Rhinolophus ferrumequinum: one gene and its partner. The protein of the gene in region 2 interacts with the protein of the main gene of each other region in a pairwise test. Links are inferred from orthologs where the notes say so. Each region holds a gene or a part of one and is shown on either strand. Other genes may lie near its edges. The genes, in order: C13H2orf50 and glutathione S-transferase A4.

The links.
Region 1: the proteins of glutathione S-transferase A4 (region 2) and C13H2orf50 interact in binary tests that used the Homo sapiens proteins (3 or more experiments, as listed by UniProt). The two-hybrid records come from large-scale screens. The link is inferred for Rhinolophus ferrumequinum from reciprocal best matches to the Homo sapiens genes GSTA4 and CIMIP5.

The regions. Positions count from the first base shown.
Region 1 is NC_046296.1:64,956,776-64,973,138, forward strand, and holds C13H2orf50 (uncharacterized protein C2orf50 homolog), read right to left. Parts: upstream 8,183-16,363; 5' UTR 7,986-8,182; coding exon 7,768-7,985; intron 6,752-7,767; coding exon 6,712-6,751; intron 4,951-6,711; coding exon 4,759-4,950; 3' UTR 4,730-4,758; intron 4,209-4,729; 3' UTR 4,077-4,208; downstream 1-4,076.
Region 2 is NC_046286.1:20,674,570-20,690,735, forward strand, and holds the start of glutathione S-transferase A4, read right to left. Parts: upstream 8,422-16,166; 5' UTR 8,320-8,421; intron 7,367-8,319; 5' UTR 7,349-7,366; coding exon 7,262-7,348; intron 1,395-7,261; coding exon 1,343-1,394; intron 1-1,342. Other genes in the region: CILK1 (serine/threonine-protein kinase ICK), read right to left, coding at 15,097-15,251. UniProt on the Homo sapiens protein: Conjugation of reduced glutathione to a wide number of exogenous and endogenous hydrophobic electrophiles. This isozyme has a high catalytic efficiency with 4-hydroxyalkenals such as 4-hydroxynonenal (4-HNE).

The DNA of each region.
Region 1 (16,363 bases), on a different chromosome or scaffold from region 2:
ACACCCCCTTTTTCCGCCCAAGCCTTGCACTTCAGAATGAACGTTTTTCTTAAGGAGGTAAAATAGATTTCTATTGATAAAAGAAGGTAGCTTAGACGCGGCACAATTGAGGGGGTGGGGTGCATTTTACAAGCTCTCAGAATCTCCTGGGTATTAAGTCCAGGCTATGAAGCAGAAAAAGCCACAAAAAGGCAATGACAGAAACCACGATTGCTGGTTTTGTCCTCTGAACCTCAGCCAAGCATTAGAGGCTCCCCCTTTCTCCTTCCCGGCCTCCAGCCCTCACCTGGCCAACAGCCCCTTGCTCTGGAAGAATCCACAAGGTTTTGAGTACCTCGCCAAGGCTAAAGGAGACCAGGATGTTTAAAAGGAAACCTTTAAGAGGAAAACAAAGATGTGTGTGTGTGTGTGTGTGTGTGTTTAGTCCTTACCTTTTAGAGATCCTGAAATATTTACAGATGAAATATGATGTCTGGAATTTGCCTTAAAATATTGGGGTTTTGGGTGGGAGGGTAGAGATGTAGAGGAAACAAAATTAGCCGTGAGTTGATCATTTTTGAAGTCGGTTATGGTAATGACATGGGGGATTATGACACTGCATGCTCTACTGTTGTATGGGTTTGACATGTTCCATATTAAAAAGTTCAAAAGCGCAGGGGAGGGAGGGTGGGCACGAAGGGCTGTTGGCCTCATTTTAAGGTGAGGTTCTGAGCTCCAGGGCAGCGGGCAGCTTGCCTCATGTCACACAGCCAGCAGCAGCTGCAGTCCGTCTCCATGCCCGGCGCGATGCCCTTTCTGCTCTGTGCAGGCACACTGCCCTGAAATCTGGTGCCATCAGAGACTCCAGGTGGGCTTCATGACCCCTGCTCTGCCACTTAGAAAGTGTGTGGCTTTAGGCAATTCACTCAACTTCTCAGTGCATCTGTATTCTCCCCGAAAAAGTGGACCTACCAAAAGCTGCCTGGCGCTCATCGGAAGGCTGGCTGTCAAGGACTGGCACCACCAGCAATCTGTTACGCGTTTCCTTACTGGGCCTTGCTCTGACTGTTGCCCAGCGCTCCCAGGCTTCCCCTGGAATCAGCCATTTGCCTAAGGAGCCCCTCAGCCTTTTCATGACTAGAGAATGGTGTTTAGAAACAAAGACCTGGGACTAACTGTACTTGTTGTTCCTGAGGTGCCATTACTTGTGGCCTCTCAGGAGACAGAGCTTGGATACGTGTGTCTGTGTATGCATGTGTGTGTAGTATTAGTCAGCTCGGGCTGCCTTAACAAAACACCACAAACTGTTCAAATTAATTTTCTCACAGTTCTGGAGGCTGGAAGTCCAAGGTGCCCGCGGTTGGTTTCTGGCGAGACCTGTCCTTGGCTTGCTGATGGCCGTCTCCTCACTCTGTCCACACGTGGCTGCTTCTCTGTGCACATCCTGTCTCTCTCTCTCTCTCTCTTCTTATAAGGGCACGAGTCCTGTTGGATTAGGGCCCCACCCTTATGACCTCATTTAGCTTTAATTACCTCTTTAAAGGCTCTGTCCTCATATACAGTCACCTTGGGGGTTAGGACTTTAGCATATGAATCTGAGGAGGACCTAATTCAGTCATATATATATATATGTACGCACACATACTCTGTATATACTCACATACATTACACATGTAAGACAATCACACACACACATGCTGAACCAGACTCTTCCTTTTACCAACCCCCCAAATTTGCATGCACGCCAAGCTGAGAAGCATGACTGCATTCCTTATGGGACCCCTTCGTCAATACCGAGTCTCTTGGCCAAACTTTTGCCATGTACATAATGGACCACAGTGAGTTTGAAATGCTGCTCCTAACATCGATCTAAAATGCAGCTAATCTTCAAAGACAGCCAAATGGCTAAGTGCAGGAGTGTCTTTACTGTTGGCTGCTCTGAAGATTCCGTTGCATCATCTTATAAAAATTGAGTGGCCTTAAGAGCAGGCCACCCCACTTTCACCACAGCCCTTGGGAATGTAAGAGTCCACACTACTCTTCTTTGGGTCTCAGATGTCCATGCCTGGGAGGGAGCTCGCTATGGTAAATTCAAAATGAGTCCTGAGTAGGCCACCCAGACATGGCCTCCCGGAGACAATGGAATGTTCCGGAATGTATACAAGAAGAGTGTATTGGTGAGGGTTTGATTACAGACCACGGAATCTTCTTCTTTAGTTAGCTTCATTATTATTACCAGACATTAGGCTGAATCACCAGAAGGATGAGGAAGCAGATTTTAGGAAACATCTCCAAGGAACAACTTCCAGAACCTCACTGAACAATTGCCCTGGGAGGGAGCTGCTGTTGCCACCTCCACCACTGTTGTCATCGCCAGGAAAGCCTCCCATGCAGGAAGCTGCCACCACCTCTGCCCAGCTGGGGACTGACAGACACAGCAGCCAGGCCCAGCTGTCCCAGAAAGTCCCACCACTGCGTCCTCAGTGCTCCAAGAAGGACCCTGGCGTTTCTCCTTCTGCCTCATGAGTCTCCTGGGGGTGCCCCTGCTTGGCAGGAACTAAGCAGAGAAGTGCGACCGCAGGGGTGTCTGCCACATCCAGCCTCACTGTTGGCCGACTGTCACAGCTCTGGCTTCACGTTGCCGTGCCCTCAGCATGGGGCACAGAGACCATTGGGCATTGCAACTAGGACCTGGGATGCTTTGGTCAGAAGATATGATTTCTGTTTGTTATTCCTTACGGGATAGTAAGGAGCGGTGGGAAATGTGGAGGGAAAATCCAGTCTAACGGGTTGTTCTGATATGTTTGGGTGTCAAAGCTGGAGGTGGAGGGCTCAGGCCACCGCAGGGTCTGTGTGAGTTTGCTCTGAAGTCTCTGACAGCACAGCCCTGGTTTCCCACCGCTCTGTCCTTGGAGCTCCATGGGCTCTGTCACTCAGACCAGACAGCAGGGCTCCCAGTGCTCAGAAGATGTGGGAGCAGGAGAGGGCCAGGGACCCTGAAGAAGAAAGGGTGTCTGAGCTACAGGGCTAAGGGCTGGCACTGAGGGCCAAGACTGCAGGAAGTCTGGCAAAGACTGCCAGGGAGCTGCTGGCTACCAGGTTGGCTGTCTGTGACGACGGAGGGCAAAGCGCGCTCTCCTGCCCTCCCTGGCCTCTCTCCCTGCCTCTCCCAACTCTGCTGCCAACACAAGGAATCAGCTGTTCTTGGCCGTGGACCTTTGTTCATGAGTTTTGGACTCTGTCCTGTAGTGTCTGAGGACAGGGAGAGGAAAGGGAGCACACGTGTTCCGGCATCAGGCAGGGAGGGGAAGACGGCTCTGAAGAGAAGGATGCATCAGGCAAGATGCCGGGAACACAAAAGAGGAGCATCTCTGAGTCTCAGGTAGGCTGAGGTGTGATTTCAGCTGTTATTTTCAAGGGAAATCTAGGCCGTTGACTGAATGTCCCTCCAGGGTTTCAGTAAACTCAGCTAGTTCTCAGATACCCCTGCTGTCACACATGCCATGGGAATCACGGTGGCCTCTGCCCGGGTTAGATTACGAATCAGTGGACAATTACTGCTCGTAGGAAAAGCAAAATAGGGAAGTGAAGAGCTCTCTGACAAGCAGCAAAAGCTTATCGATAACCGCAGTGACAGCTACAGAAGCATCCAGAATGTGCGATGCCTGCTGTGTGCCAGGTGTTTGACTTTCATGATGTCATTCCACGGATCTGTTGAAGCAAGGAGGCTGTTCCCAATTTGAGATCACCCTGGTTGGACGTTCCTGGTTCTGCTCCATGGCGGTGGCTCCCCCTTCTCTCTGCCTGTCTGGGCTGTTTGTCCTGGAGGTGGCCGCAGGAGCAGCCTTAGGAGAGAGCTGCTTCAGCCTGGGTCCCAGCCCCCCTCCTGTTGTGGGGACCGTAGCCAACTACTGCACTGTGTAAGAGCTGCAAACCTGTGTGATGCGGTACTCACTGCACGCTCAGAGGACGGAATCTGGAGCTGTGATGTCCTTGGAGTCTCCCCTCCCCAACTTTACAGCTGTGGACCATCGTCGCCTGGTGAGGGGAACGAGCACGGTGAGTCAGGTGTGAGATGGGATCCTGGATGCGGAGTGAACCCAGATACCAGGTTCCCAGGGGCGGCCGGCACCGCATCATCTCAGGTCCTCTCGGGTTGGAAATGCTGTGATGCTGCCTTTGCAGATGTAGGGGGCCACCGGCCAAGGAAAGTGGACAGCCTCTAGAAGCTGGAAAAGGTGAGGAAACAGGTGCTTTGAGCCTCCAGAGAAGAACACAGCCCTGCTGACACGTTGATTTTCGCCCAGTGTGACACATTTTGGATTTCGGATATCTAGAGCCCTAAGATAATGCATATGTGTTGTTTGAAATCACTCAGTTTGTGGTCATTTGTTACAGCAGCGATAGAAAACAAATACCCATTTTACAGATGGGAAATGGAGGCACAGAGGGTTCCCACAACCTGCCCAACATTGCACAGCTGCTGAGTCAGGAGCACAGTTCGAACCCAGGCAGTCAATATCCTGACCACAATGCAGGGCTCCCTCATGGGCCCCTCAGAGGGAATCCCCACCTTGCCGGGCAGGTTTCTTGAGTCCCCTAAACTCCTGGATAAAAATGAGCCAATGGAGCCCACTTAGAGGCTGTGTGGGGCGCAAGGAGAATAAACCCTGGCTGACACGTGTGGGACGCTGACTGGGGCCATGGTGCCAGGCCAGCTGCAGGCTTCCTGCTCCACTCACACACCCACCTGGGGCAGCCCTGAGAGCCCTCCTCCTCCTAGATGGGCTGCAGCTCATCTTCCAGCTTCTTCTTCCGGACTCCTTCCATGAAGAAGAAGTCCAGGCTGATGAGGGTTTTCCCCAGGGGCGTGTCCACCCTGCTGCCCACAACCTGGTTCGTGGAATTGGGGACAGTGTCAGAAAAGAAAGGCACGTGCTCCGGCAGCTTCTCAGGTTCCTTCTTATTGCCCTGAGGAGAGGGGACAGTTCATGTCACATGCTGCTTCACATACGGTGGCAGTGCCATAGATGTGGTTGGTTCTTTTCAGTGAAGTTTTACTTCAAGTCTAGCATACACACAGAAAAGTGCACAAATCATAACTGTACTCCATCACCTGTCGCACAGCGAGCCTGCCTGTGTAGCCTCTCTGCACCAGGAGCTAGAACTTGATCAGCCTCCACCCCGAACACCTCCACCCCCCAGGCGACCTGATTTCCACCTCTGACACCACAGGCTGTGGTTTGGCCTGGTTTTGAACTTTGTCTTAATGGGATCGTGCCTCCTCTGGCTGCTTTCTCTCATGGACATTGGCGAGATTCGTCCACGTTTGTGTGTGTGTTGCAGTGCACTCATTCTCCTTGCAACTTCTATGAATAAGCTGCAGGTTATTTATCTAGTGACTTCTGTAACTGATGGATGAATCCGTCAGTAAATGTAGGGATTCAGAACAATCCGATGTGTGGGGCAAAATCCTCAGCCCTCCCTACCCCTGTTTATGGTTAACTTTGCTTCTTCGTGTGGAATAGAAGTGACAGGACCAGTTTGTAATGAGATCCTGGCTTTTACTTGGGAAAGTCCGTGCTGAGGTGGCCCCACAGCTGGGTGTGATGCAGGTTTCAGTGCTCAGGTTGCTACATCGCTCTTGGCAGGGAAGGACTCAGTAGGCTGGACGAAGCCCGGACCAGGAGCTCAGTGTAGGATTTCAGGTCCCACGAACTAAATTTTCTATCTGGGGGAAGACAGCAATCCAGCAAGGCCAGAATGAAGACGTGACACCTTCCCTAAACCACACAATGTTGGTGTCAGCGTGGCCACCACCACCTTGGTTGACTCACTACCCTGCTCATTTTCCAGGTGGTTCTGTGACCATTGTTCTTAGGGCCGGATTCATTGTCCCATTTGCTCATTCATCCAACACAAACTGAGTGATATTTTACTGACCAGGTGCTTGGAGGTGGAGGTGCGGGGATGAAGTCACTGTTGTCCTTTCTCTTAGAGAGCCCACAACCAGGTGAAATCGATCATCGCAACATGACATGCTTTACCAAAGGAAAGGGTTACATATATGCTGGTGAGTAAAGTCAGAAGCACAGAGTGATCTGCTCAAGCCCACTCAAGACGGGGAAATTTCTCAGAAGGGGAGGCACCTGAGTGGGGACCTGAAGGACGAATAAGAGTCCATCAGGCTGACAAGGTGGGAAGGGCGTTTCAGGAGGGGAACAGCACGCACAAAGGCACGGATAAGAGTGTGGGTTGGTCAGTGTGGGGTGAGCAATGGAGGAGGGGTTAGATCACAAGATGTGTTGTAAACCAGGCTGAAAACTGCAGATTTACTGAAGGATTTTCAGCCGGGGAGAGAGATGATCAGTTTTGCAGTTTAGGAAAATTACTCAAGTAGGATTGATTAGAGGTGGTGCTACTAGAGGCAGGAATGAGTTTGCAAAGTATTTCTCCCAAACTCATTCTCCACAGGGGGCACCCCACACGTCACTCTGCACTGCGGTCCTCACCTGGGGGATAAAGTTCCAGCACGTACATCTTAACAAAGTCAAGAAACACTGGGAAGAAGTAATTTCTACATGCTCCACGTCAGTATTTTCTTTCCCACCAGACTCTAAGCTTCTTGGAACAAGACTATTTTATCTGTCTCTGTTCGCTCCAGCATCCATCACACGGTAGAGACAAATGTTAAATGAGTGAATACACATTCCAAGTGCAAGTATGTCTTACCATGAGGTCATGGTCTTTCAGGAAACTCCAATTTTGAGCCCTGGAAAGGAACACACGTTAGACACGTGAGTTCTTCCTGTGACATTTTCACAAATGGCTTTTCTGTGTCAAGTTAATAAGCTGATGCCACTAACACATTTATTCCATCATGGAGGAATTAACATCACTTTTAGGTGAAACGAATGCCATGTATCTACTGAGTGTTTATTTATGCTACATCGTATAAAATGAAGAAACATTTCAATAATCAGTGGCTTGTCCTAGAGTGGAAACTATAATGCTGGAGGGTAGAGCAGAGTCGGAAGGAGAGCAGTGATGCCCTGTCTCCATGTACCTCTGCTTCCTCAGCGGGCCACTGTGGGGATCCCCAAGTAGCGTGTGAGGGCCAGTTCTCACTTCCTCAAACCTTGGTAAAAAAGAAGAAGGTGGGGAGGTTTAGGACTAACAGGGAGCGACAGTGAGGAAACTGGCATTACTGGCACTGGTAATTTCATTTTTATTTTAATCTGTTTGTGTGAAAAGTCAAACAATTGTATAACGCTCATAATAAACATAGCCTCTGCCCCAGACCCCATGGCCTAGAGTCTCCAGTCTTTTAGCTGTTTCTCTACTTGCTTATTGCTACTCGGTCCTGAGAAGGAAGGCTCCATGGAGCTGGGATCAGGCATGTTTTGTCCCCTTTGCAGCCCCACAGAGCGGCTCTTCTGGGACTTTTTGGATTGAGTGAATGAAGGACTGCTGTCCCAGCTTCCTGGTCGCCCCCCTGCAGTCTGTGCTGGGATTCCAGAATGAACCGGGAGGGCTGCACTGCCCCTTACCGGAGCCCTGCCTCTCTCCCTCCCACTCTCTAAGTGTCTGGCCCAGGCTGGGCTCTCTCACCTCCCCTCCCCCGCTCCCCACCTCAGTGCTCTCTGCCCTTTGGCTCCAGCACTTTCCCATCAATGCACTTTGCCTGGCTTCCCTCTCACCCTCAGGTTTCTCTTTCTCCAGAAGCTTCCTAGACCCTGAGTCAGACTGGAGGGCAGGGGAAGAGGGCAGGCAGGGCAGGGCACTCACCAGCGCTGCTGGCTCCGCCTCTCGGCCTCCAGGAGTTCTCTCCACAGCTGGTCCTGCTGCACACCATCAGCCCCCAGGGCCAGGCCGCGAGCGCGTCCCCTGGCCACCATGGGGCCACCCCGGGCAGTAGGGGAGACTAAGGTTGGTGGCCTGGTGGAGGGCAGTCGGTACCCAGCTGATGTGGTTTTCTGGAGCCCAGAGGTGGAGTGGCCCTCCATGGAGACGTGTGTGTGTGTGTGTGTGTGTGTGTGTGTGTGTGTGTGTGTGAGCTCAGACCTCTCCCAGGATAACCCTCCCTCCTAACCCCAGGAGAGCCCGTGCAGGGGTCCTCCTCACTGCCCCGCTGGACCCTGAGCTCAGCGTGGCCTATGAGGATCAGGCCTTCCAGGATGGGAGAGTAATCGAGCCCAGTTGAGTTTCAAGCTCCTACTTGTGTTGACTGTTGCCCTGGGAACAGGGCAGCTCCCCACTGTGCCCAGGAAGGCGGGAGCTGCGGTGTATGTGTGTGCCTTGGTCTGGCACATCTGAGCCCCAGGGTGAGGGTGGGGTGGAGAAAGTTCCTGGGTCTGTGCCATGTCCAGCTCAGCTGCCCCACAGCTCTGCTCCCTGCACCCCTCGCTAGAGACTTCAATACAGCATGAGGGAGGGGAAGGGGGCCAAAGGCCTGACTTCTGGGGCAGGGAGGGAAGACCTGGCTCCCGGAGAGGACGTGGGGATTGGACTCAGTTTCTGTCATTGTAACCTGACCTTGGGCACGTGACCTTGGGCACCCTGTCCTTTTGGGCACGTGAAAGGGCAATAATAATCCTGATCCACCCCACTGCTACATGAGATGGTGGGAGTGCTTTCACATGATGCTTCTCTCTAGGGATGATAGAAGCAGTCCTAGTGTATGCCAGGTGAGGGAAAATCAGTGACACTGCATGATTAGTTAATCTGTTCTTTCTGTGTGAACCTGGATGGTTTACAAAGCACCACCCTTTCTCTTGCGGGACCCTCCCAACCATCCACAGCAAGAATTTCCAGTCCCATTCTATAGATGGAGAAACTGAGGCCCTCAGCAGCAAGAGTAAGTGACAGCTCAAGGTCACTCAGCTACTCACTGAAGCTTGGCCTAACTTTAGACGGTCTGAAGGACGCAATGAGGACCTGAGGGGAGGAGTCATGTTCAGAACCTGTGGCTGCTGCTGCTCTGACCCAGGCAGCCCGAGTTCGCTCTGCGGCCCCAGGCCGCTCCTGTACTGGCTCAGCTGACCTCCTCTGACACCCGCTCATGGCTTGTGCCCCAGCTGCCAGGTCTCTTGGCTTCTTGCGATGCACTGTTTGTGTTGGCAGATTCCAGCTCTTTCCATGAAAGTTTTCTGTGGCCAATCCAGCTGGACGTGGTACTTCTCTGCATAGCTGGGAAATAGACGCACAGAGGACACAGAGGTATGTACAAGGTGCCCTAGGGTGTGGGGACAAGTTCAGCCAACACACCCGAGCTCACACTGTGCTCCAGCCCTGGGTGCCTGTTCTGGATTCTGCTTTCATGTAAGAGGCACTAAGGAGTTGGGTCTTCACAGATGAAAAGGATTTGCCAGGTGGAGCAAAAGCTTGGATACAAGAGAGAGCCTGGTATTTGGGGGAAGTTGGGGGAAGAGGCAAAGCACTGAGGCTGGCGGCTGTGTGCACAACTGGAGACACTGCCGGCTGTAAGCCCACAGGACATTGCAGGGTAAAGAAGCACCTGGCAGGGGACAAGACGCAGGAGAGAGGACTGTGGCCATGTTCCATGTAGAGGAAGTGGTATAGCCCACACTGGGCTTGGGCAAATGGCTGGGCTGGAGGACCGTGGGTGAGCGCCACCGGGCCACAAAGAGCTGTCAGCTAGGAGGAAGGGGCTGAGGGAGTGTGGCCTCCTGGACATTAGCCTAAGAGCAGAAGCTGTGGTGCTGGGACTCTGTCTGTCCTGTTCTTCCTCCCGGAGCTGGGCTGAGACAGGCTGGCGTTCAGTGACTGCAGTTTTCTCAGAAAAAATGAACTGTGCGGGACCCCTGGGGCCCAGGAGCAGGCTTTTCCGGTAGTCATTGTCTCTCTTTGGTGTCTGCGCCCCCAGCACAGCGAGGACAGTCCTGAGGGAAACTGCCCTGGCTGTGGAGTGGACACTCCATCAGTATCAGTGGGTCTGTCCATTTGTAAGGGTTCAGGGGTAATTGAAGAAGATTATCTGGAAGCTTGGTTGCTTACACATCTGGAATCAAGGTGTCAGCAGGCCAGGCTTCCTGTGAAACCTGGAGGACAGGACTTCTTTGTCTCTTCCCGGCTCTGGTGGCTGCTGGGCAATGCGGCACCCCTCGGACTGTGACCGCCCACACCACTCTCTGCCTTCACCACCACATGGCCTCCGTCTGTGTGTCTCTGTCTTCACACGGCCGTCTTTTTATAAGGACACCGGTAGGGCCCATCTTACTCCAGTGTGACCTCATCTGAACTAATTACATCTGCAAGGACTCTTTCCACATGAGGCCACACTCCGGGGTATTAGGGGTTAGGACTTCACCATATGGGGTGAGGGTGGAATGATTCAACTCATGACAGATTATATGGATTCAGACTTCTTCTGGGATATACTGTGGATAAAACTATCTCGTATTCAGCCCCTACTGTGTGCCACGCATTTTACGAATGTTATCCTCAACCATTATTTCATTTCATTAAATGAATAGTGTTAGCTCCGTTTTATGGATGAGCGAACAAAAGCTTCAAGAGGCTGAGAGTCTCGTCCAAGGCCATAGGCAACAACTGCAGGGCCTGGCAGTGGAACCCACTCAGGCCTCCCGTCGGGGGCCCGTGCTTTCTGCCAACAGCGGGGCTGTGGCGTGGCTGCTAACAATTAACTACTCCCCATTGGTTCCCCAGGAGCCTCCTGGATAATTTTCAGCAATTAGCCTCCACGTTTTCAATACCAATCTAGCCTCTGGGAGGTAATGTAAGTCTTCCCTAATAGATAACTACAACTACATTAAAAATAGCAGTCGTATCACTCTTCAGGTTTGAGAGTGTGCTCACGTACATTTCTTGTTGAAGTATGACAGCCTTGGGGGGGCTGGTCCTATCTGGATTTAGGTGCAGAACCTGGGGGCTCAGGAAAACCACAACCCTCACTGATCCCACGGGCAGGACATGCGGTGCCAGAACCCAAGCCCTGCTGCCTGCCATTCCTTGTCTCTTAGACTATTATCTGAAGAGGACAAGCATCCCACGTAAACAGTTTTACTTCAGCTACCTACATTATACACTCACTGGTTTATATTCTGAAGGCTCTGGATTTCTGGGAGGTGGGGACACTTTAAGTATTGGGAAAAAATGTTCTGATGCATCATTTTTATTTTTTCTGTAGCGAAATGCATTTTAGGAAAAAGTAGAAGTGAATTGGGAATGGTCGCAACACACGTCCTGGGCAGCAGGGGGCAGACTGTAGCTTTGCATCTTCCATCCAGTCGGAAATCAGCAGTTACGGCTCCATCTCAAAGCATCCGAAAGGAGCCAGGCGCTATGGCCATTTCGGATTTAAGGCAGAAAATGAGTGTCACGTTGGGAGAAGGTGTCCATGAAGGAACACAGCAGGGCCTGGTGGAAACAGGCGCTAGGCAAAAAGTCCTTAGGTGGCGGTGGATCTGGGCAGCGTGACATACTTTAAACATTAGGCAGCAGGTGAGGCTGAGCCCTGCCAGGCTGAGCTGGCCCAGATGGTTGTGGCAGCGGCTGGTGGTCTCCTAGGTGGTCTCTGACTGAGGCTGTGCTGGCCACGGAGCTCGAGTTGCTGGGGGCATTCAGGGAGAATCAGCCTTTGGTGGCAGCATAGGGTGCTGGGTGGGTGGCGGAGGGCGGAGCCTGGGAGGGCTTCACGGGGCAGAGGAGGTTGGTTTTGGGGCTGTAGCCGGCAGGGGGAGGTTCTGGTGTTCACACGGTTCAAGGCCAAAGGAAGGTGCCACCCTCTCTGACCAGCCCCGAAGGTGAGCACCTCCTTCCTCTGGTGCAGGAGCTCTCAGTTTGCATGTCCAAGGAGACCCTAGCCCATAGAGTTGTAACCCTGGCTGTTTGTCCCCTGTCCTTCTGTCTGTCTGGGGAGCCCCACACCTGGCCCATGGCCTGCCTGCCATGTGGGTTCTGGGCCAGGCAGGCAGGAGAAAGAGTAGGAGTCCCCCCAAACCGGGAGACCTCCGTTTGGTGCTGCCCTGTCTTGCTGGGGCAGGGGGTGACCATGGCGTCAGCCACCTGACCCTCAGGTGAGGCTGCAGTGGCAGGAGGAGGCCGGCCCGGAAGTGCTGTGACTGGCAGGTCTGACTGAAGTGCTTGGTGGTGTGGGTGCCCCGGATGATTTGGTTGCGACGGGGATAGATAGCTGCTTATAGCTGTGCACCCCGTGAGGGCCTGGGAGGGCAGGTGCTGCCTCCGCCTGGTGTGGGGCAGGCCAGGGCCGAGGGCTCAGCCTCCGTCAGGGATGTCCGCCATCTACATCCTCAGCTTCTCCTACTCGAAAGCCCGCACTCGCTGTCACAAAGCAGCACATGACAGTGTTTTCTTCAGTGGTCCCCTCCCTACAAGAGATTCCTACTGAAACGCATCACGATGCGATGCGTGACAATGAAATGAAACAACACAGGTGACAAAAGTACCCCACCTAGAGGCTGGCACCTGAAGAGCCTTTGATAAATGGCTCCTCACATTTAGGACAGTTGGCAAGAGCTTGCAAGGGTGGGTGGGGAGAAGGGTCGTTGCTTGGTGGTACGAGGGGCGCAAGCAGTTTCAGGTGTGGACAAGAGCTGGTAGCAATTCAGACTAGATGTGGAGACAGGATGGAAATTTCCACTATAACTCAAGGATCCCTCGGCCCAGGTATGGGGCAGGAGAAAGCTTCAGGAAGTCAGAGGGTGGGCTGGGGTGAAGCAGGCTGCCTGAGCGAGGTGGCATGTTGACATAACCCTCCACAACTCATGGAGAAGACGATCAGGCTCATTCAGATCGCCATGTCCCGCTTTGGGCAAACTGGGGATCCAAAGACCAGTGTCCTGCTGTGCTGGGTACCACCTCCGGGTACGACTGTTGGTACTTGAATGTTTTATGTAACCCTCACAACAACTGAAGGAGGTGGTGTGATGGTTAGTTCTATGTGTCATTGACTGGGCCGTGCGGTGCCCAGCCATTTGGTTACACATCGTCCCGGCTGTGTCTGGGGTGTCTCTGGGTGAGGTTCACATTTCACTTGGTGGACTGAGTAAAGCAAATGGCGCCCCCCCATGCAGGTGGGCCTTGGTCCGTCAGCTGAGGACCTGACTAGAACAGAAAGGTTGAGTAAGAGGGACCTCTTCCTGCCTGGGTGCTGAGCTGGCATGCTGGTCTTCTCCAACCTTTGGACTTGAGCTAAAGAATCGGCTCTTCTTGGGCCTGAGCATTGGGACTAGAACTTACCCCGTCGGCTCTCTGGGTGTGTGGCTCGCCAACCGTGGATCTTGGGACTCGTCAGCCTCCACACCTGTATGAGTCAGTTCCTTGTAACATCTCTGCATGCACACATCCTTTTGCTTCTGTTCACGGGAGAACACTGACGGATACAGGCGGGTTCTCATTGTCTCCATTTACAGGTGAGGAAACTTAAATCCGGAGGGGTTAGAGGGGCAGTGGGAACGCGGAGGCAGCACAGCACCCACTGGTCACCTGGTCTTGGCCATTGGGCTTGGATGTTCTCCAGGTCTGAACCCTGAGGAGCAGACGCCTGAGGGCCACAGAGAGCTCTCACCTCTGGCGTTGGGAAGGCGGGAAGGGCAGAAGGGAATCCCCCTCCTTGGTTTTCAGAGATGGACAGAGACAGGAGGTGGATGTCTGCGTTCTCAGGTCTGCAGGGTGGTGAGGCTGGGAGAGATGCATCCTGCGTGGCAAGTGACAGGACGCGGCCTTTGGGCACCTAAGTGTTCACCTGCTGGGTGAATTTGGGCTTTTGTCTCATTTGTCTTCATTCCGATTCATGAATGAAGAAGCAGAGGCCCAGGGAGCTTAACTGACTTGCCCGCGATCTCCAGGCTGGAAAGCCGTGCAGCTTGAGGTCCATCCCACAGCGTGTTCTAGGGCCCTCTTCTCACAGCTCTTTACTCCCTTTCCAAGTGGGAATCTTCTGTTCTTTTCTAATCAAGGGAGGGAGGGAAGACTTGTTAAAGCATAGTCTCTGACAGTGATTTGGAGGAGGAAGTAATATTTGAAGCAAATGGTAGGGGGTATACAAGAGTTAGCTTCAGGGCTGCAAAACCAAACTGGGAAGAAAAATATTTTGTTTACTGATGGAACTTTCACAATTTCCTGCTTATTATTTTGCCCATATTAGCCATGTTTTGATTACTGCAAAGGCCAACAGCTGCTTCAGATACGTTGGATCTACATACTGGTGGGGGATCTGTACACCAGGAAGGGGCCCCTGGAGACTCCACAACCCCAGCCTGGCCCTGCGGGAGCCCCTTAAAATGTCACAGTTGCACCACCCAGGAGGATGTTTGCTCCAGGTTATGAAGTCTAATGGCGTGATTGGATGATGGGCGCCTCCCTCATTAGAGTGCTCAGTGCCGACTGGGAAGGAGGATGTGTTTGCGTTTGCGTCTTGGGACGCATTCTCCTGGAAACAAGTGTCCTAGACTGGGGTGCCTCTTGCATTTTGCATTGGGGTGAAATTCACTTAGTGACTTTATGTGCGGAAAGTGGTAAAACACAGAGCCTAAGAGCAAGCACTTAGGGGTCCCACCTGGATGGGAGTATCTGCACCTGCCCTCACTGGCACTTCCCAGCGCCCCCATTGCAGACAGCTGTGCAGTACCTGTGAGAACACAAACTCCTCCATGCGGCAGGCTGGGGCTACGTCCCTGTTCCGCTGCCTTCACGGTTTCCTGTCTAAGTCTTATTCCCTCGGAAGGTGGTGGTAATAATAACAGTCACTGTAAAGGTTATGTCGAACATGAAATGTCACAAATTAGGTATAAAGCTCTTAGCGAACCGCCTGGCAGCTGGTAAGAATACGGCCGGCTACTAGTAGGATGAGTGTGTTGCAGTAGAGGTGTCGCCCCAAGCACATTCCTGCAGTTCTCAGTGCTGGGTTTGCTTGTCCTGCTACAGCAAGGGGGTGTGCTCCCCCTGAGGAACGGAAGGCCGTTTTGGAAAGCAGCCCGGTGACCGGCAACCCCTAAGAGAGAGTGTCAGTCATTTTTGCAGCTGCAGCAAGGTCTCACTGGGGTTTCTTTGTTTTTCTTTTTGTTCTGTTGGCATAATCGTGTCCTATTGGAAACCTTGTTTATCTCAGTGTGCCTGCCAGCAGGGCTAATTTTCGCTTTCTCGGTGATTATACAGATCTTAGCTATCAAAGCCTTGGGGCTCATTTAAACCAACACATGATCATTGTTCCCCATAGAAACCCAGATGGAACTTTCCCTCGGCCTCATGACTGCACCTGTGCACCAGCTCCGGGCTGGCCCCACCTTGCATCTTCCTGCTTGTTGCACCCTCATGTGGACTAGGCTCCTACGTCTCAGGTCTCAGCTCACAAATTATCCTTTTCATAACCCCCTAATAACGAGCTCCCCACCCAGCTCTCTGGCAGTCTCTGTCTCCTCACTCTATTTTTGTCTTAGCATTTATCACTCTTGTATTATTTTATTCCTTGTCTGTTTCCCTCACTAGAGGTAAAATACCACAGATGCATCTCCAGCTAGAACCTGGTGTGTAGTAGGTGCTCACTAAACACTTGTGGAAAGAAGGAGAGAGGCAGGAATAGCCTCACACAGGATCCTTTCCTGATTGAGCCGTAGGAATTCAAGGGCTTGGAGGGGAGTTTGAGGTCATGGCGTGGAGCATCCCCCGGGGGGGAACGGTTCCTTCTGCAGGCTCCTCAGCTTGCCTCCGCTGGACCATGTCCACTGCAGAGAGCTCGGTACCTTCTCCACTGGAAATGCCTTTCTTAGAGGTTCTGAGCTTCCCTTTTTGGTCTGCATTTTGCCTCCTTAGAACTGCCGAGAACAAGACTCATGATGGCCCTCCAAGTAGTTGGGGATGTCTCTCAGACCCCCAGTGAGTCCTCTTGTCTCCAAGACGAGCCCACAGTCCCCTTAGACATTCCTCCCATGACCTGGATTCCAGGGGCCTCAGCTTCAGCTGCGTATCAGAGATGAGGAAAAATTTCAGCAGTGTCCTTCAGGGCATCTTGTGATACCCCTGATATCATTTGTAATGGTCTTTGCAGATGTGCAGTTTTGGGGTGGGGAGAGGGTCTGTAGGTTTCATCAGCTTCTCAAAGGATCCTTTACCTCAGAGTGGTCCAGAAGCTTCCAAAAGCCCAGCTGTATTTAGACTTTCAGGCCAGGCCTGCTCTCCATGATGTGTGGCGGGTGTTTCTCTCGTTAATAATTACTCCCCACTCTAAGTTGCACTTTCTGTTTTAATGATGCACTTTCACCTTCAGCATTTCCCCGAATTCTCACAACGCTGTTTTTTCAGTGTGCTTAATTCTTTTTCTGTGTGAATGGGATAACAGGGTTCTGACAGGGTAGGTTTTGAGGCTGTGTTGTTCGATGTATGA
Region 2 (16,166 bases):
TGCTCCAGGGAATGAAAATGGACAGGGGGCGGGGGAACACAGCTTTAGGAAACAGCGTGAAACTCCCTGATGACAGACAACTTCAATGTCATTCAGGGGAGCAAACTGAGCCTGAAAACTAGCATTGTTCAGAACTTTCCCTTTGCATTGTCATCTGGGAGAAATGCCCACCCACAGTGACAAGGCGTAGAGGGAAATTTAGTGGAGACACTGCTTCAGAGCTGCTCTGGCTGATACAGTAGCTCCTAGCTGCCCGTGTCTAGCGAAGCCTAAATTTAAACTAATTAAAATTTGGAAAACATTTAGCGTTCAGGTCCTTCGTTACACTAGACACAGCTCAAGTCCTCAGCCGACACAGACGGCTAGTGGCTAACACATTGGACAGTGCAAACTAGATCATTTCCATCACTGTAGGATGTTCTACCGACAACACTGCCTTAGAGAATCTGATCATGAAGCCTACATCACCTACTGGGACTCATGTAGGCTCGTTGGTTTTCCTCTTTCACAGCCATAGGCCATTAACTATCAAGTCAGCTGTCACCGGACAAAAAGTAACCTGTTACTTGCTTGAACAACCTGTGTCAAACACTTTCCACATATTAAACCCCGGGCACAGATGCAAGGATAAGGGTACAGCCTAGCCCTCAAGGGGCTCGCGGATTGGGGGTACGTGAGGGGTTTGGGGGAGATAGTACTCAGCCATGACTAGTGATGTCAAGCCAGTGTCACCCATAACAGGTGGCATGACAGCCCTGTAGAGTTGGTCTCTCTCAAGGGAGTGTTGAGTTGGGCCTGAGGCCCTTGCTGATGGTTGGGAGGGAGGCAGCATTCAGGGTTGCTAGGTATTTCTCATGGGGCGTGGGCGCAGAGAGAGTAGGGCTGACGGGGAGTTGAAGGGGAGCCTTTCATTGATTTCATTTGTTTGGTATTTACTTCAGAAACGCAGCCCAGTGCACATGGGAACTTTTATCTTCATGCTTTAAGCAGGCCTTGATGCCTCTGGTAATTTGGAGGAGGTGAAAGAGATGTGGCAAGGAAGAGGAGGAGGGAAATGATGAGGGAAAGGAAGGGCACACGGAGGTCAGAGGAGGCCTGGGGGAGAAGAAAGGGATGGAGTAGGGCTGTTTCCTTGGATGGAAGAAGGAACGGCTCCCTCCCTTCAGCTAGCGCTTATAGAACTACTGACCAAGAAGCAATTTTCTGGCAATTTCAACTATTAGTCCTTTGTCTGGTTTTAGGATACTGGTCTGAATGTTTAATGTCAGCTGCATCTTTACCCTTCCACCAAATTAAAAAAAAAAATCAGTTTTACCAGCAGTTGTCTCATTTCCATACTCACCATCCTGCAACTTCTGCAACTGTTCTTTTGTTTCTAAAAATTCTTCATCAAACTAAATTTTAAAAAAGATACCCCCCCCAGAAAAAGGTACATGTCATTACAGGATCAGGACTGCAAACGCCAATTTAAATTGCCTCAAAATACAAGAGAAAAAGGACACTTAGCACATCTTACCACATCTTTGTTTCTAAAGATCACTGCCCACTAAAAGAAACCAGGGCCCAAGGAAAAAAGGTTGATTCTGCTATGTCAGGAAGCAAGGAAGTACTCGAAGACTAATGAGAGATGTCAAAGGCAAGGCACTTACGACCCTACCTGAGGGGAATTCTCTAGGCAAATCCCGGACAATTCAAGCATCAAAAGTAATGTCAATTATGGATTATAATGCACACCAACAAAAAATTCCTGTGTCCATAAATGATGACACCATATAAAAGGGAGAAGGAAAAGCTCTTCTTAAAGCACAATTATCACCAACTAATGTAGAATTGTCGTTAATTAATGATAAAATTTTAAAAATCATCATCTGCAGCCTACAATGTAATAACTCATCCTGATAAGGATCATAATGGATGCTGAAATCATTGGGTTATAAGACACAGACTATTCACACAATCTCAAAGTATCACCCCACACGTTACTTCATTATGATAAAGGAAAAATCTATCTTTGCAATGGAGAGATCTGGAGATCTCACCATCTATCCAACCAAGTGGCCAAACTTAGCTCCCCGTTGGGGAACACTCCGAGATGTCATGTGGTTGCTGCTGAGACACAATAGGAAGGATACAGTAAGTAGCACTGTAAAAACATTACCAAAAACATTTAACTTGGATCTAACTGTGATGTGAGACTCAGGCACATCCAGAATGTTTGACATTCTGCAACATGTATGGCCTAGACTCTCAAAAGAGTCAAGAGCATAGAGAAAAGAAAAAAAAAAAGCGGGTACTGTTCTAGATAAAAAGAAACTAATAATCAAATGCCTGAATCTTGATTAGATCATGGATGGATGGTGGTAGTGCAGGGGGCAGTTATAACTGCTAAACAGATATATAACAATTAGATAGACATTTTGGGGACAATAGGATTGCAAATTAGATATTACACACTTAGTATTAGTTTTTAGTTGCGACAATGATATTGTGGTTATTAGAATAATTATTTATTCTTAGGAGGAAGATACCTGCTAATGTCTGCAACTTATTTTCAAAGGATTGGGGTGGGGGGAGAAGTAGAGAGAGGAAGGGAGAAAGCAAAGGTAGCAAACTGTTAACAACTGAATTTAGTTGAAAGGTATCCATTGTACTATTGCAATTTTTCTGTAGGTTTGAAAGTTTTCAAATTAAAAAGTTGGGGGGAAAAACAGTGAAAACAAGTTTCTCTTTTCCTGACATTATAAAATGTTCTAATGTTAACTTCATGTCAGGAAGAGGAGGCCTCCTCCCACCAAGTCCCTGGATGGTTCCCCACAGATACCTGTCCCTGGGCTGCTCCCCAAAATCATCCAAGGGAGGGGTGGAGCTGACCAGCACAGAATTGGCAGTCCTCCCCTCCTCCATCTTAACTATCTGACCGGGGGCGAGAATTGGGATATGGGCTGTAGGCTGGCTTTTGCTACTCACCAGGGTCCTCGTGGTCTGAGAAGAGGGGACTGAGTGCCCCTGGAGAAGCTCTATCTCGTGCTTAGGGCCAACAATATTTGGGGCATTTGTCCAAACACCCAGCTGGTCAGATGTGGTGCAGCGGTGCTCCCTCCACACTACTCCTCTCAAGCTTTTATCATCATGACCATTTAAAGCACATGGGAAAGTGTGGGGGATGGGGTAGGTCGGCTTCCAGGCCCACCCCAGGCCTCAGAGACTCATATTCAGGAGTTGGGAGAGACCAGAATTGTACATTAAAAAAACAACAACAAACAAACAAACCAAAAAAAAAACCCAAGTCCTTCCCAATGGTTCTGGTCCTGATTTTTTACTTTTGGGACATTATGCAAAATGTGTGCTCTCATTAGAGAAACTTTTTGTGTCAGGCTTTGTAAAACGATTGGTCAGTAAGAAGAAACTAGCACCAGAAGGGGAGATGAGAAGGTGGGACAAAAAGGGAAGGAAAAATATCACCAGACAGAGCTTGGAGGGAGCTTGGCAACCCCAGCCCAAGTACTGCCCAAGGCTGGAAGGGTAGAGACAGCGTCTGGGTTTCTATCTAACAAACACAGTCAGTTGTCTTTGTTTCCTAACTTTGGAGATCTGTCCTCTTCCACACCATAGCACTCCCCTTTTCAACACTCTTACAGTTTTTGTAAATGAATTATCCAGAAGTCCTGAATTAGGAGCTTGTGGCTATGAAGCCTTCTCTTTTACGTGTATTGATTTCCCTTTTAACAAGGGGGATGGATTTAACTGGATTTCTGCACCAGGGGTAGGGGGGTGGGGGGGTCTTCAGCAAATGGAGCCTCAGACAGCGAAGAAGCAAAATCCAGCACACACCAATGTCTAAGGATTTAAACGAAGTGACAGATGGAGGACAGTGACTCCCTGAATTAGGACCTGCTGCCTTTCAGCAGGTTCAGTTACCCAGTTACTCAGATGTGTGTGCTTTACATGGCAGGCTCAACCCAACACTGTGACAGTGGGAATCACAAACTCATCCAGTGGCTGCCAGCCCATCCCTCCTGATTGTTTCGGATCTATATGAGCACAGACTTAGCTAAAATTGTCTTTTGGCAAAGAAATGGGGCGGGGACCTCCCCCCCATACCACCTTTTGGGAATTGATCCTGTAAACCACTTGGTCAGCCCTAGTGAGGGAGGCCAACCAAGCTCCGGCCGCGCAGGTCCAAGGGGTGGGCCCCAAGTCCAATCTGGGCTAATTATTCTACCCAACCTGCCTGCTCACTGTAATTGGTTTAGGATAGGTGGACCACATGACTCATGTTCTTTTTCGTTTAACTTATTTATGGTTGGGTTTCCATCACTGTAACCAAGAATATTGACTCAAAGGGGAGTAGGAAGGACAGGGTAGAATGAAAATAGGGGAGATAAAGGATTATATTACATATACAAATAAGATAGCCACTGCAAAGCCTATTTAGAAAAACAACTTGTACACTCAGACACATAGAGGGGTAGACAGCTGACAGATCAGGCTCAGGTCGTGGGACCAAGAAATGGTTCACTCTCCGCTTAGCATAATTAGAAAATTTGTCCCGAGACAATAAGGAATGAAGGGTCTGTGTTGAATTAGAAAGACCCACCAATAGTGGCAGTCCTTATTCATATTCAGCAGTTGCGGCCATGTGGAAATGAGGGCCCAATATCATTAGATCTTCCAGTCTCTCAAGAGCACTCAGAAATCAGGGTTTGTATATAAAAATGGTATCAACTAATTTAGCAAAATCGGAAAACACGGTGTGGGGAATTATAATGGTATGCAAATAAACCCCAACCCAAGCCCAACTCAAACAAAAAACAAAACCCCAAACTCCGTAGCCCTCATTTGTCATCTTTGGAGGTTGTCAGGGTAACAATTCATTATTGAGAAAATTGATAAAGAGTCCAAATCAAGCATTTATCTTGCCTTTCCTATATGAGCTGCACTTCAAGGTAATTAAATAGTTAACAGGTGAAAACTTACTCTTATAAGAGAGTTACAGTTAATAAATTCAGGTGAAAGGATAAAACTAGAAAAATACCATTTTGTAATCCCTACCCATGGTGAGGATCAATAGCCGCTAAAACCACTAACTGAAAGGGTAATGGGGGAGATTTTCTAATGAGTGGATCAGGCTGACGTCACCAGAACACAGGGATCAAGCTCTGCATGACTGAGAACGAGACAGTCAGACATCACACACCCCTGATGGCGTACAACAGAAATATGTTCACAATATTCCTCTGTTGGAGCCTGGCAGGAAAAACAAAAATTAAAGATAGAGAAAAGGAGCATGGATTCGATCACACCTCTGGATCCAACTAGCTGTGTGTGAGGAAATATAGAGAAGAGAGGAACATGTTAAAATGAGGGTAAATCAGCCAAATATAGAATGGGGGAAATTCTACAGGGCAGTTTCTTCACCAGTAAATGTCACTAAAACAAATGCAGACACTCTACACCCAGGTCTTGGCTGTTAATACCATTTTCTAATAAAAGGGACCAGGGATCCTTGGAGAAATACCTGATTCTAGGGCCAGGACAAGGAAAATACAATATAAGATGAGCCTGGACCATCATATTGTGTCAGAAAGTAAGAAATTGATAGGTGATGGGAAAAGGATATGTGGAAAGGACACAAGAGCTAACCTGGAAGAGTGCCAATGGCCAAAGCTGGAACATTTTGAACAAGTAATTATTGAATTATAACCCACAGTAAAAAATAAATATGCTGAAGTCCATAGTGCTATAAATAAATGATTGAATATATAAATAAATTGGGGAGGTGGGGGAAAATCTCCCTTACATAAGAATTCTAAATGTAGATACTCCCCCCTCCAGGAAGTGAAGCTTAAATTCCCATCCTCCTGAGTGTGGAATAAACTTAACGATTTGCTTCCAAAGAATAAAAGGGAAAATGGTCATTTGACAAGAAGAAACCTAGCAGACATCACCGTAACCAAGCGACCAAGATTAACAGCCCCAGTGATAACTCACGTTAATAGCACGTAACCCCTCCTATGATGCAATGAGGATGCTTCACCTCTGTGCTGTTCTTCCCCCAAACCCCAAACTCTGGTCTAATCATGAGAAAAACATCAGACAAACCCAAACAGGAAGATTCTACAAAAAACCTGATCAACAGTTTTCAAAACTGTCAAGTTCATGAAATAAGCACTGAGAAACATTGAGAAACTGTCACAGATTGAGGAAGACTAAGAAAACAAACGACCTAATATATTGTTGGATCCTGGAACAATAAAAGTATGTTAGTGGAAAAACTAATTAAATTAGAATAGTCTGTAGTTTAGTCATGCACCAATGTTAATTTCTTAGTTGTGACATGGTTATATGAATTGTCATCATTAGGAGAGACTGAGTGATAGTTACATGGGAACACCTTACATTATGTAAGTTTTCCATAAACCTAAAATTATTCCCAAATATAAAGTTTATTTTTTTTAAATACAAAGGAAAATGTTATAGATTTTTTAAAAATACTGAAAGAAACATAACCAAATGCAGTGTGTGGGCCTGATTTAGATACAGACTGGAATAAACTAACTATAAAAAGACCAGTTTGAGACAATCAGACTGTTAGATGATAATAAGGAATTGTTAATTTTTTGTTGGATGTGATAATGGTATTGTGGTTATGTTTTAAAATCCTCATCTTTTAGAGATAAAAACTGAAGTACTCACAGATGAACCCATATGATGTTTGGATTTTTCATTAAAATACTCCCACAAAACAAGTGAAGATGGGTAGATACCGTAAATGAAACAAAATCAGCATAAAGTTAATGATTGTTGAAGCTGAGTGAAAGGTACATGGAATCCATGCCAATGTTTTCTCTACTTTTGTTCCTACTGGAACATTTCCATAAATATGAAGCTAAAAAAAACAGAACAAAAACAAAAACACTGGGCCAAAGTTATGCAGACCAGGACACATTAACAAAATTAACAAAAGTTCTGGGAGTAACTGGCAAATTTCAGGTTCATTTCTTTTCTCCTTATTAACAAATATTTGTTGGTGGCACATCAGAAGCCAATGATGAAGTGAAAGTCAGAAATAAAATGGAATTCCATCCACTACATTCCTTTTATAAAGGAAAAAACCCTTGAAAGGAAGGAATCCTCTGACTCAACGAAGCATGTCTGTTATGTTAGTGGGAGAGGACTAGATCAGGGCTCCGCCATTTGTGTTTTGCTCAGAGTCTCCAAGTTGTGCGGCAAATCTGTGAAGAAACAGCACATAGAGTACCTCGACTCCAGCGGCAGCTAAAACCCATCTTACGGTTTCCATCCGGCCTCTTCCGTTGGGATAGTGGAGCTTAGGCTTCTCTGACATGATGGCCTTTCAGGCTTTCTGAAAAAAACAAATGCAGCAGCTCCTCTTAATTTCGTGTCCTCGACCCAGGGCTCAGGGGCTAAATGAATATTCACGATTTGGGCACAGGAAACTGTTTTGTTTTTACTGCGTTTTCCCTCACTCCATAAAAACATACCACCATTTTAAAACATTAACAAACAAACAAACAAACCAAAAAACCTTGGTTTTCATATCGTTTCTATTTATGATTTCTTATTCCGTATCTTGGGAAGCAGGGGCCGTATGTTGTAAAGACATTTGTGCTTGGGTAGTAAGGTACTTCAAAGATTTAGATCATCATATACTTGACCTTAAAAATCTTAGATTTCTCAAATTCGACCTGGAGGGGCCAGGAATGGAGGGTCGCGGAGAATTTAATTATACACCCACTGGAACCTCTGCAAGTAGTCATACTTTCGTACGCAGCATCATATTAGATTATCACAGAAACTGGAAGGGGGAGAGGCCGAGGGTTACTATTGTCTGCAAAATGTGCGTCCATCGTCACGCCTGCGGTGGCAGCCCCGGGGTCCCGCACGTCCCCAGTCCCCGCTGGGAGATGAGCCCCGGGTCTTGCGAATGCGCCCAGGCCACAGACGCAGCCACCCGAGACTAGACTCGGGTGATCCGCGGCGTGAGCAGAGCTGCCTCCCGGCCCCGCCCACGGAGGATCCGAGCCGGCCTTCCATCAATGGAACAAACTCCGCAGAGACGGTTAATAAAAACACGCACACTGCCAAGAACGACCCCAGTCGCAGCCAAGGGGCCCACGTCTGCCCAGACGGAGGCGGAGGCGCAAAGGACAGGAGGGTGGGAGACAAGAGAAGGACTGAAGGGGGCGATGGTGGGGAATGGATGGTGGAGTAAGAGGCTGGGAGCCGGGGGAATAGAGGGAAGGAGAAACAAGAAGAAGGGAAAGAGCGGGTGGGGGCGGCAGGAGGGACACAAACCTGCAGTCCGCTAGGAGCTCAGGAGCCGCACAAAGCGCGCTGCAAGCAGCTGAGAGAAGAGACCAGCTAGTGACGAGGAGGCGGTACCGGTGGGCGCGGCTCCGGGAAGATTTCACCAATCGAGACAACAATGTTTAGCATGACCCACCCATCTGCAAGGCATTCTGGATAATATGAAAAAAGTTCACATTCAAGTCAGTTTTAACATTAATTTTAGCATTTTCAGGGAGAAAATGACTTTTGAAGTGATACTTAGGTTTGGACTTAGTTAGAATTCTTGTTAGAGATAGAACATAATTAAAAGAAGTCGACCTATGCGTAAAGACATAATTCTGTTTGGCTTTATATAGCTCGTATACAGTCTTAGTCCTTCGGATGTGAGGGCGATCTGGCTGCGACATCTGTCACCCCATTGATCGCCAGGGTTGATTCGGCTGATCTGGCTGGCTAGGCGGGTGTCCCCTTCCTCCCTCACCGATCCATGTGCGTCCCTCCCGAAGCTGCGCGCTCGGTCGAAGAGGACGACCTTCCCCGATAGAGGAGAGGACCGTCTTCTCGGTCAAGGGTATACGAGTAGCTGCGCTCCCCTGCTAGAACCTCCAAACAAGCTCTCAAGGTCCATTTGTAGGAGAACGTAGGGTAGTCAAGCTTCCAAGACTCCAGACACATCCAAATGAGGCGCTGCACGTGGCAGTCTGCCTTTCTTTTGACAAATGTAATTAAAATCTATGTAATTTTACTAACAATTGTCACCCCAATAAATTAAAGAAAAAGAAAATAAAACAGGCAAAGCTATATATAAGTTAAACATAACAATTTTTTTCTTTTTTTTGTGCATACATTTATTTTTAATTTCTCCTTTCTTCCCTGACGCCATGGATCATCTTGTTTTCCGATCATCTTGTACAGTTTAGACACAACTAAGATCTCAACGGGGCTAAAAAAGTAATTTGTCTAGTTAACAAGTTTAAACTGTAAAAAATGTTTTAAAACTGTCAAGATTATAGTATAGAATAGAATGCCAAATTCACATGAATTTTAAAGTTAAAAATGTTTTCAAAAGGACTTCAAACTTTTCGTTTTAGAGGCAGCTTCTGCTATTTCTCAGACTATAGATGTTGTTGATTATTGTTTTCACCCAAGAGGGGCTCTTGAGAGGACCTGGCTTGAGGAGCCTGTGGTGCTGAGTACTTGCAGCAATATGGTCAGATTTTATTTTCAATAGATTTCTCCGGCAGAAGTGTGCAGAATGAATTGGGACAGTGTGGGGTCGCAAAAGAGAGACCTATTAAATGTCCTTGTGAGTTAAAGTAGCATTGTGAGTTTGGAGAAGATGGGTAAGAAAAGATGATATTAAGGAAGTGGAAGGTAAAAGATTTACTAATCAGGCAGAAGGGTGCTGGGGAAGGGAGGAAGTGAAAAAGTCTAAAATGATGCCCCCCACACACACACTCATTTTCTTTTCCACCCTCGTCTATTTTTCGTAACATTTATTGTCATCTAACATACTTTATATTTTACTTTGTTGTCTGTGTAGATATGATAGAATGTAAATTCCACGTTAGGAATTTTCATATTTTTAACAATATACTTTTGTATATCCTACTCTTAGAATAATGCTTAGCATAGAGTAGGTATTCAGGGAATAAAATGGATGAATGATGCCTTGGTTTCTAGCTCCATAAAGCATAGTGGAGGACAAGTATTGGGGGAAATAATAATGAGATTTGTCTTTCATTCCTATGAGCCATCCAATTCGTAATGTCCAGTAGACAGTTGTATAAGCCAGTGATGAATCAGAAGAGAGGACTGAAATGGATCAAACTGGCAGCAAAAGGATGAGTTTATCCAGAGGAAGTATGTAAAGTAAGAAATGAAGCAAATCAAGAATAGATGGGCACCCCAAAAGTCAGAAAAGTCCCTTCAAAAGAAATGAAATATGTTCAATTTCATCTTCCTAATTCTGACCTAACACAAATATTACTCAGTTTAACGTAGGTAGGAAGTCCTATTTTCCAACCTTGCTGAAAGTGATCATTCTTTATTCATTTTTCCCAACCCATCTTTCTACAAAGATTCACTTTTATTGAACCAGATGAGACAAACATTATTATTCAACACTGTTAGTAAGCCAAAGCCTTATCTCCATTTTCTTATTTCTTATTGGCTGAACTGTATCAAATTACTGATATCCCACTATTTTTTCTAACCTACGAAAATGACAACTTCCTATGTCCACCCTAATAAATTGGAGTCACTTCATCCTAGCAATCTTGTTTACCTGAAAGAGAAACTAAGGCAGTATCCTAAGACTCTATTAATTACACAGCCTTGTGGAGAAATAAGAAGTCCTGTTATAATAATTCTGCCATCCTGACAGGTACCCTTCATTTTATTCCTTGGAAGCCCCAGAAATCATTCTATTTTTGGAGCCTCCTGGAGTCATTCTCAGTCTGGGACAGTCTTACTCATAATGTCTGCCTACCAATCTGATACATTTTCAGAGGACCTGGGAAGTCCTCTCTGCCTTTAAACCTTTGCCCACCCACTCAGTAGCACATAAAATTACCTCAACAAAAATCAAGAGCTTCAAATCTCAGTTTAAGAGAGGCTTGATATGTAAGTACTACAGGACGAGGGAAATAATTGGCTTAAATTCAGCCTTAGCTATAAATGACTGCAGTCAGACCCTCTTTTAACATCAGGTGTTTACAACAGGAAGGATGGTTGAGAGTTTGAAACTTTGGGGCTTCTGAAGGGGCACATATACCAAAAGATTAGATAAGTGCTGATGATTGCAGTCAGGTCAGGTCTAATGATGAGGGACTCATTTAGGGGTTCACCAATACAAGTTTGATTGATAAATTGTGTTCCTACAAAAATTCTGTCAAGGATTCAAAGAATGTTGGGAAATGAATTTCCTGTGGAATCCTATATGTAATTCATGAAGTTATGAGTTTCCTTTGAAGGTTTAGATTGTACACGAGTGTGTTGTGAAAACTTAAAACATAAGGTAGGCATTAATCATGATGAAATCAGCCAGAGAAAGTTTTGACCTGCATTTTTGTTTTTAATATCCTAGTCACCTCACTTACTAAAAGCTAAATTAAAAAAAACAAACAAACAAAAATTTATACATTGCAGGATAACTCTTTTCATACTGCTAAGTGTACACTTCTGCATTAAGGAGAAGTTACAAAGTATCAAAATTCCAAATTAGGAAATACTAATGTTATCTTTTTAACATTAAAAAGATAAGAACAGGAAGAACAGGAAAACAAAAACAGAACACAAATCTATTTTTCTTAAACCGTAACTTTATTTGGAGCAGAATTTTTGCAAATGTAGTTAACATTTTTAAACACCGGAGGGATGAACTATTCAAAAAACAACATTTTATTTCAGATGGGGCTTGCGTAAGTGATTTTCTGTCCTCCTATCTTCTCACCATTATGAATATTTGCTTTATAAATACTTATATTCTCAGTTACTCCCTTGTAATCAAATCTAGTGACTACACTGCAACCAGTGCTGAGATAGCTGAGATCAGAAAAACTGTTCAGGTCATGTTAAGTTCATATTAGCACCGTGTCTATAAGAAACTGATAATACAGATTAACGTGATAGTAGCCTCCAGTTTGTCTTTGTAATGGTTTCCATGAAAAGGTCCTCACAATAAATTATATAAAATACAGGACTTTGGTTGGAAATTGTAAAAATAATTCTAAAAATTAACCACATATATTAAACAAACACGTTGCTACAGTATGCTTTAAATAATATATAATAGTATGTCAAACGTTTTCTTATAAACATATTGCTTTTGGTCATGCTGAGTTGGAACATACAGCCTGCTTTCTTTTTCTCTCCTAAGTGGCACAAAACAATGGCTTGATGGAAGGGAAATGCTACTTTTTCCAGCATGAGAAAAGATGAGAAAAGATGGTGCCCATGAACTCCAACAGTACTGGTAGTTGTACTTAAAACAATTCTTGACAAAACAAGAATGGTTTTGTTTTACATGTGTTGCTTTGATTATATTCAATTTCTGATAACTCCAGAAGATGACAGAGCGTCAATTTATTAAGTGTATATAGTCCTTTTGGCAAGAGCTACGTCTAAAAAAATTGTCTGAAAATCAATTTTCTTCTTATTTAAATCCTACCATATGCGAGCTGGGTGAGGGCTTAGAAATTCATGTGATTTTTATTGTAAAATGAGCAATCACACCAACAGTGGTTTTTGTGCCCGTGCAGTTGCCTTGCAGTTTCCATGTATCCCCATCACTGAACCTTTGGGCACAGAATGAGAGCCATTCCTGTACCGTTTCCTGATGTCCCAGAAAGCTTTCTGATTGGAAATGAGGTATAGTCATGGAGGTACAATTAAACTCATCATTCATTGTGGTGTCTTGCAGTTCGTTTAATAATTCTACAGTAACTAAAAAATACATATGACAGGTAGCACTTTATTTTCACTTAACCAAAAATGGTCACTATTCCCTTCTATAGTAAACAGTTTGTATATACAAATTGTCCTTTACCCATTTCGGGGAGAAAAAACGAGTGCTTTATAGGATTTTGCTAGTTCTTTAGAATTTACATTGTTTATTTTTCAGTCTTCTAGGTTTCTCAACTGCACATCAGCTTCTTGACTTTCATATGAATAAACACGTTTAGCTTCCCTAGGGAAGTTGTTTGCTGATAAACAAAGGAAAACAAAAGAGAAAGAAAAGTGAAATATTTTCTGAATTTGGGCCCTATGAAAGTATTAGAAAAACCACTTTATATTGTGTAATAAGCAGGTAACCAGGTTTTTCAATTTTAAAACGTGTAATGATTTTAACATAAGCTAGAGTGTCAAGAATATGGTATTCACAATCCATATGCTTCTCTAAGGGGTATTTACAATTGAAACCCAGCTTTCCAGGCAAGCTGGGTAAAGGTACAGATTAACTTACGTTGTATACATAATACAGAAAGGGAAAATAAATATTAACCTCAGTAAAGGACTCATCTCTGAAAACACATTTTCTGTTGCTTTAGGTAATGAGTTGAGAATATAATACAGAAATGAATTCAGCTTCAAGTTGTGCTTACACATACATATTTATTTTCTGAAGCTCTGCTGCCAGTTTGTTAACGGGAAAATATTAACTATCAAACCCACATCCATTATGTGCTTTTCTCCTGCCCCTAGTGATCACAGCGCTTGGTCAAGTACATGTTTGAATCAGATTCTCCAAAACAGAAATTACTCCCTGCTTTAGGTTAGGGCTCTTATGGTAATTGTTTCGGGCTACAATGTATTAATAGGACATCGAAGTAATAATTTGCCAACTTGGTAATGGTAAGTGGAACCACATCAAAGTGCCCATATTCATTTTAACCTACGAAAATGTCAATTTCATATGATTCAACTACCTATATCCTGGAACCGGGAACCAAATGAGAGTAGCTTGAGCCCTGGGAGAATGAGTCAACACACTATTGAAATTATATCATGTTCTCTGCTGGTGACCTTTCCTCTTGCCTTTCAGGTAACCATGAGTGGAGGCACATGTGCCCTACAGAGGTGGATGAGAGTGGACCTTTTGTCTTTTTCTGTCTCCAAACTGGCTTTGTCATTTTCAAAACTGCTGTAAACATTCCTCTCAATGGAACAGCCGTGGCCAACAAATAGAGTTCTCACTGTTGAAAGAAACTACACAAGGGTTAAGAGTTTAAATGTGGCACACTATGACACTAACCTCATGCTAACTTTGACTTCCTGGGTAAGTGGAACTTCTGCCATAAATCTTTTCTGCTCCCCAAACTGCCCTGAGATTTTGGCTGTGACAGAAGATTATTCACTGTCTGTTCCTCGCCTGGACAACTGAGCTGAATGTAAATTCTATCAGTTATTATGATAAAAAAAAAAATCTGCTGCTTTGAAACTTCACTTTTTGGTCACGCATTTTGGCAGGGATATCAGTTTAATTGACTATATGAACCTTCATGCGGAGACTTTTGTGGCTTGAAAAGCTTCCCTTTTCTGAGTCCTTATACAATCTGATTTCAAATATGGAAGAAATAGAATGCAATGGCATAGCATGATGAAGCCTGGTTTCATTTGGATAGCTCCAACCATGATGAAGGATGTTGTAAAATTTCAAAAATTATTTACTTAGAGTTCTGTCACCTGGGGAACAAAAACTAAACAAAGTGAATTACATAACAGTACTTCTAGAATGGCACAATGGTATCAAAAAAATCAAACCAATAACGTGACATTGAGAAATGTCACGAAAGTCCAAGAAAGCCCAAGGTGCTTAATGCGCCACATTTAAAATTTAACCACTTCACAAATATCCGCACACACAGAGTAAATAACCCTTTATCATGTAGCCTTAAATTGCACCCCTGTTGCAATACTGCGTCAATATTATTACATTTTTAAAAATCTGTATAAAATATTATCTGGAACCCCGAAAGAAAATCAATTAATCTTTAAAAAGTTTGTTACAAAGTTGACTGTATAAAATGCTAAAACATAATCCATATATACAAAATGCTGCAGTTTAAGAAAATAATGGGACCCAGTTTTAGAATAAAATAATTTTGTACAAAAACAGGGTATTACATTCAAACCAATATTTTGAAAAAAAAACTTTAAAAAAGAATATTGAAATGTCTTAGATCAGAAGAATAACTATAAAGTGTTTGCTTTCACACCATCCGAAAGTGTCTCACAGGTAGAACACCAGCTGGCTGGGGGACACAAAGGGCTTCATGACCATCACCGCCGAGATGCGTACTTAGCAGCCCAGTCTGTCCGGCCGTGCACTGGCTGGGCGGCTGGAGGCCGTGGGATCAACCCAGGAGTGCTTCTCGGCTGGGTGTGGAAAAAAGGTCGCCCAGGGTGAGGTCTCACAGCCTTCAGGGAAGAATAACCTGCCAGGAAAGAGAAAGGTGGGCCTGATTGGTAGGGGATCCATGAAAACAAAGTACAGATAAATGTATCTTGGTGACAAAAACATCAGACAAGGAGAGTTCAAGAGGAGCATTTGGTCAGGCCAAAAACACTGGTGTCCTTCCTGACGGACTCCTCTTTTTCTCATATCCCACTTGTAATTTGTCAGCAGATCTTATTGGCTCTACCTTCCCAATATAGCCCAACTCCGCTATTACCACCCAGCCCAGACCCGCACCCGTCCTCGCTTGGATAACTGCAACAGCCTCCCTATTGGTTTCCCTGCTTCCAACCTCCTCACCCCTTTCAGTCTGGTGACAACCAGCACTTGAGCGAACCTGGAAGATGAAGTCAGATCACTTACTCTTCTGCTCAAAACCCTCCCGTAGTTCTCATGTCTCTCAGTCAATGACAACTTGCTTTCGGGGGTCTGCAGGGTACATGCCATCAGGCCCCCATCACCTCTCTGACCTCCTCTTCCTACTCCCCTCCTCCCACTCCCACCACGCTTGCACTTCGTTGAATACGCCAAGCCCGTCCTGTCTCGAAGCCCACGCACTTCAGAATCCCAGCCTGGAACAGTCTGGGCCACACTGCACGGCTCGCTTATTCACCTCCTCCAGATCTTTACTCAGTGTCTCCTTTCCAGCGAGCACTTCGCTGGCCACCCTGTCTAACATTGACCAGTCTACATGCCACACACCAACCCTCATATTCCCTACTTCCTGCCAGCTTGAGTTTTCTCCTTAGCTCTTATGCACATCTTATTTGGTTTATTTATTGTCTGTAAGGTATAAGTTCCACAAGGGACAGGGAGTTTGGTCTGTCTCCTTCACTGGTGGATCCTAGGTCCACATGCCCACAACCACAAAGCAGTTAGGTGTTCAGTAACTATT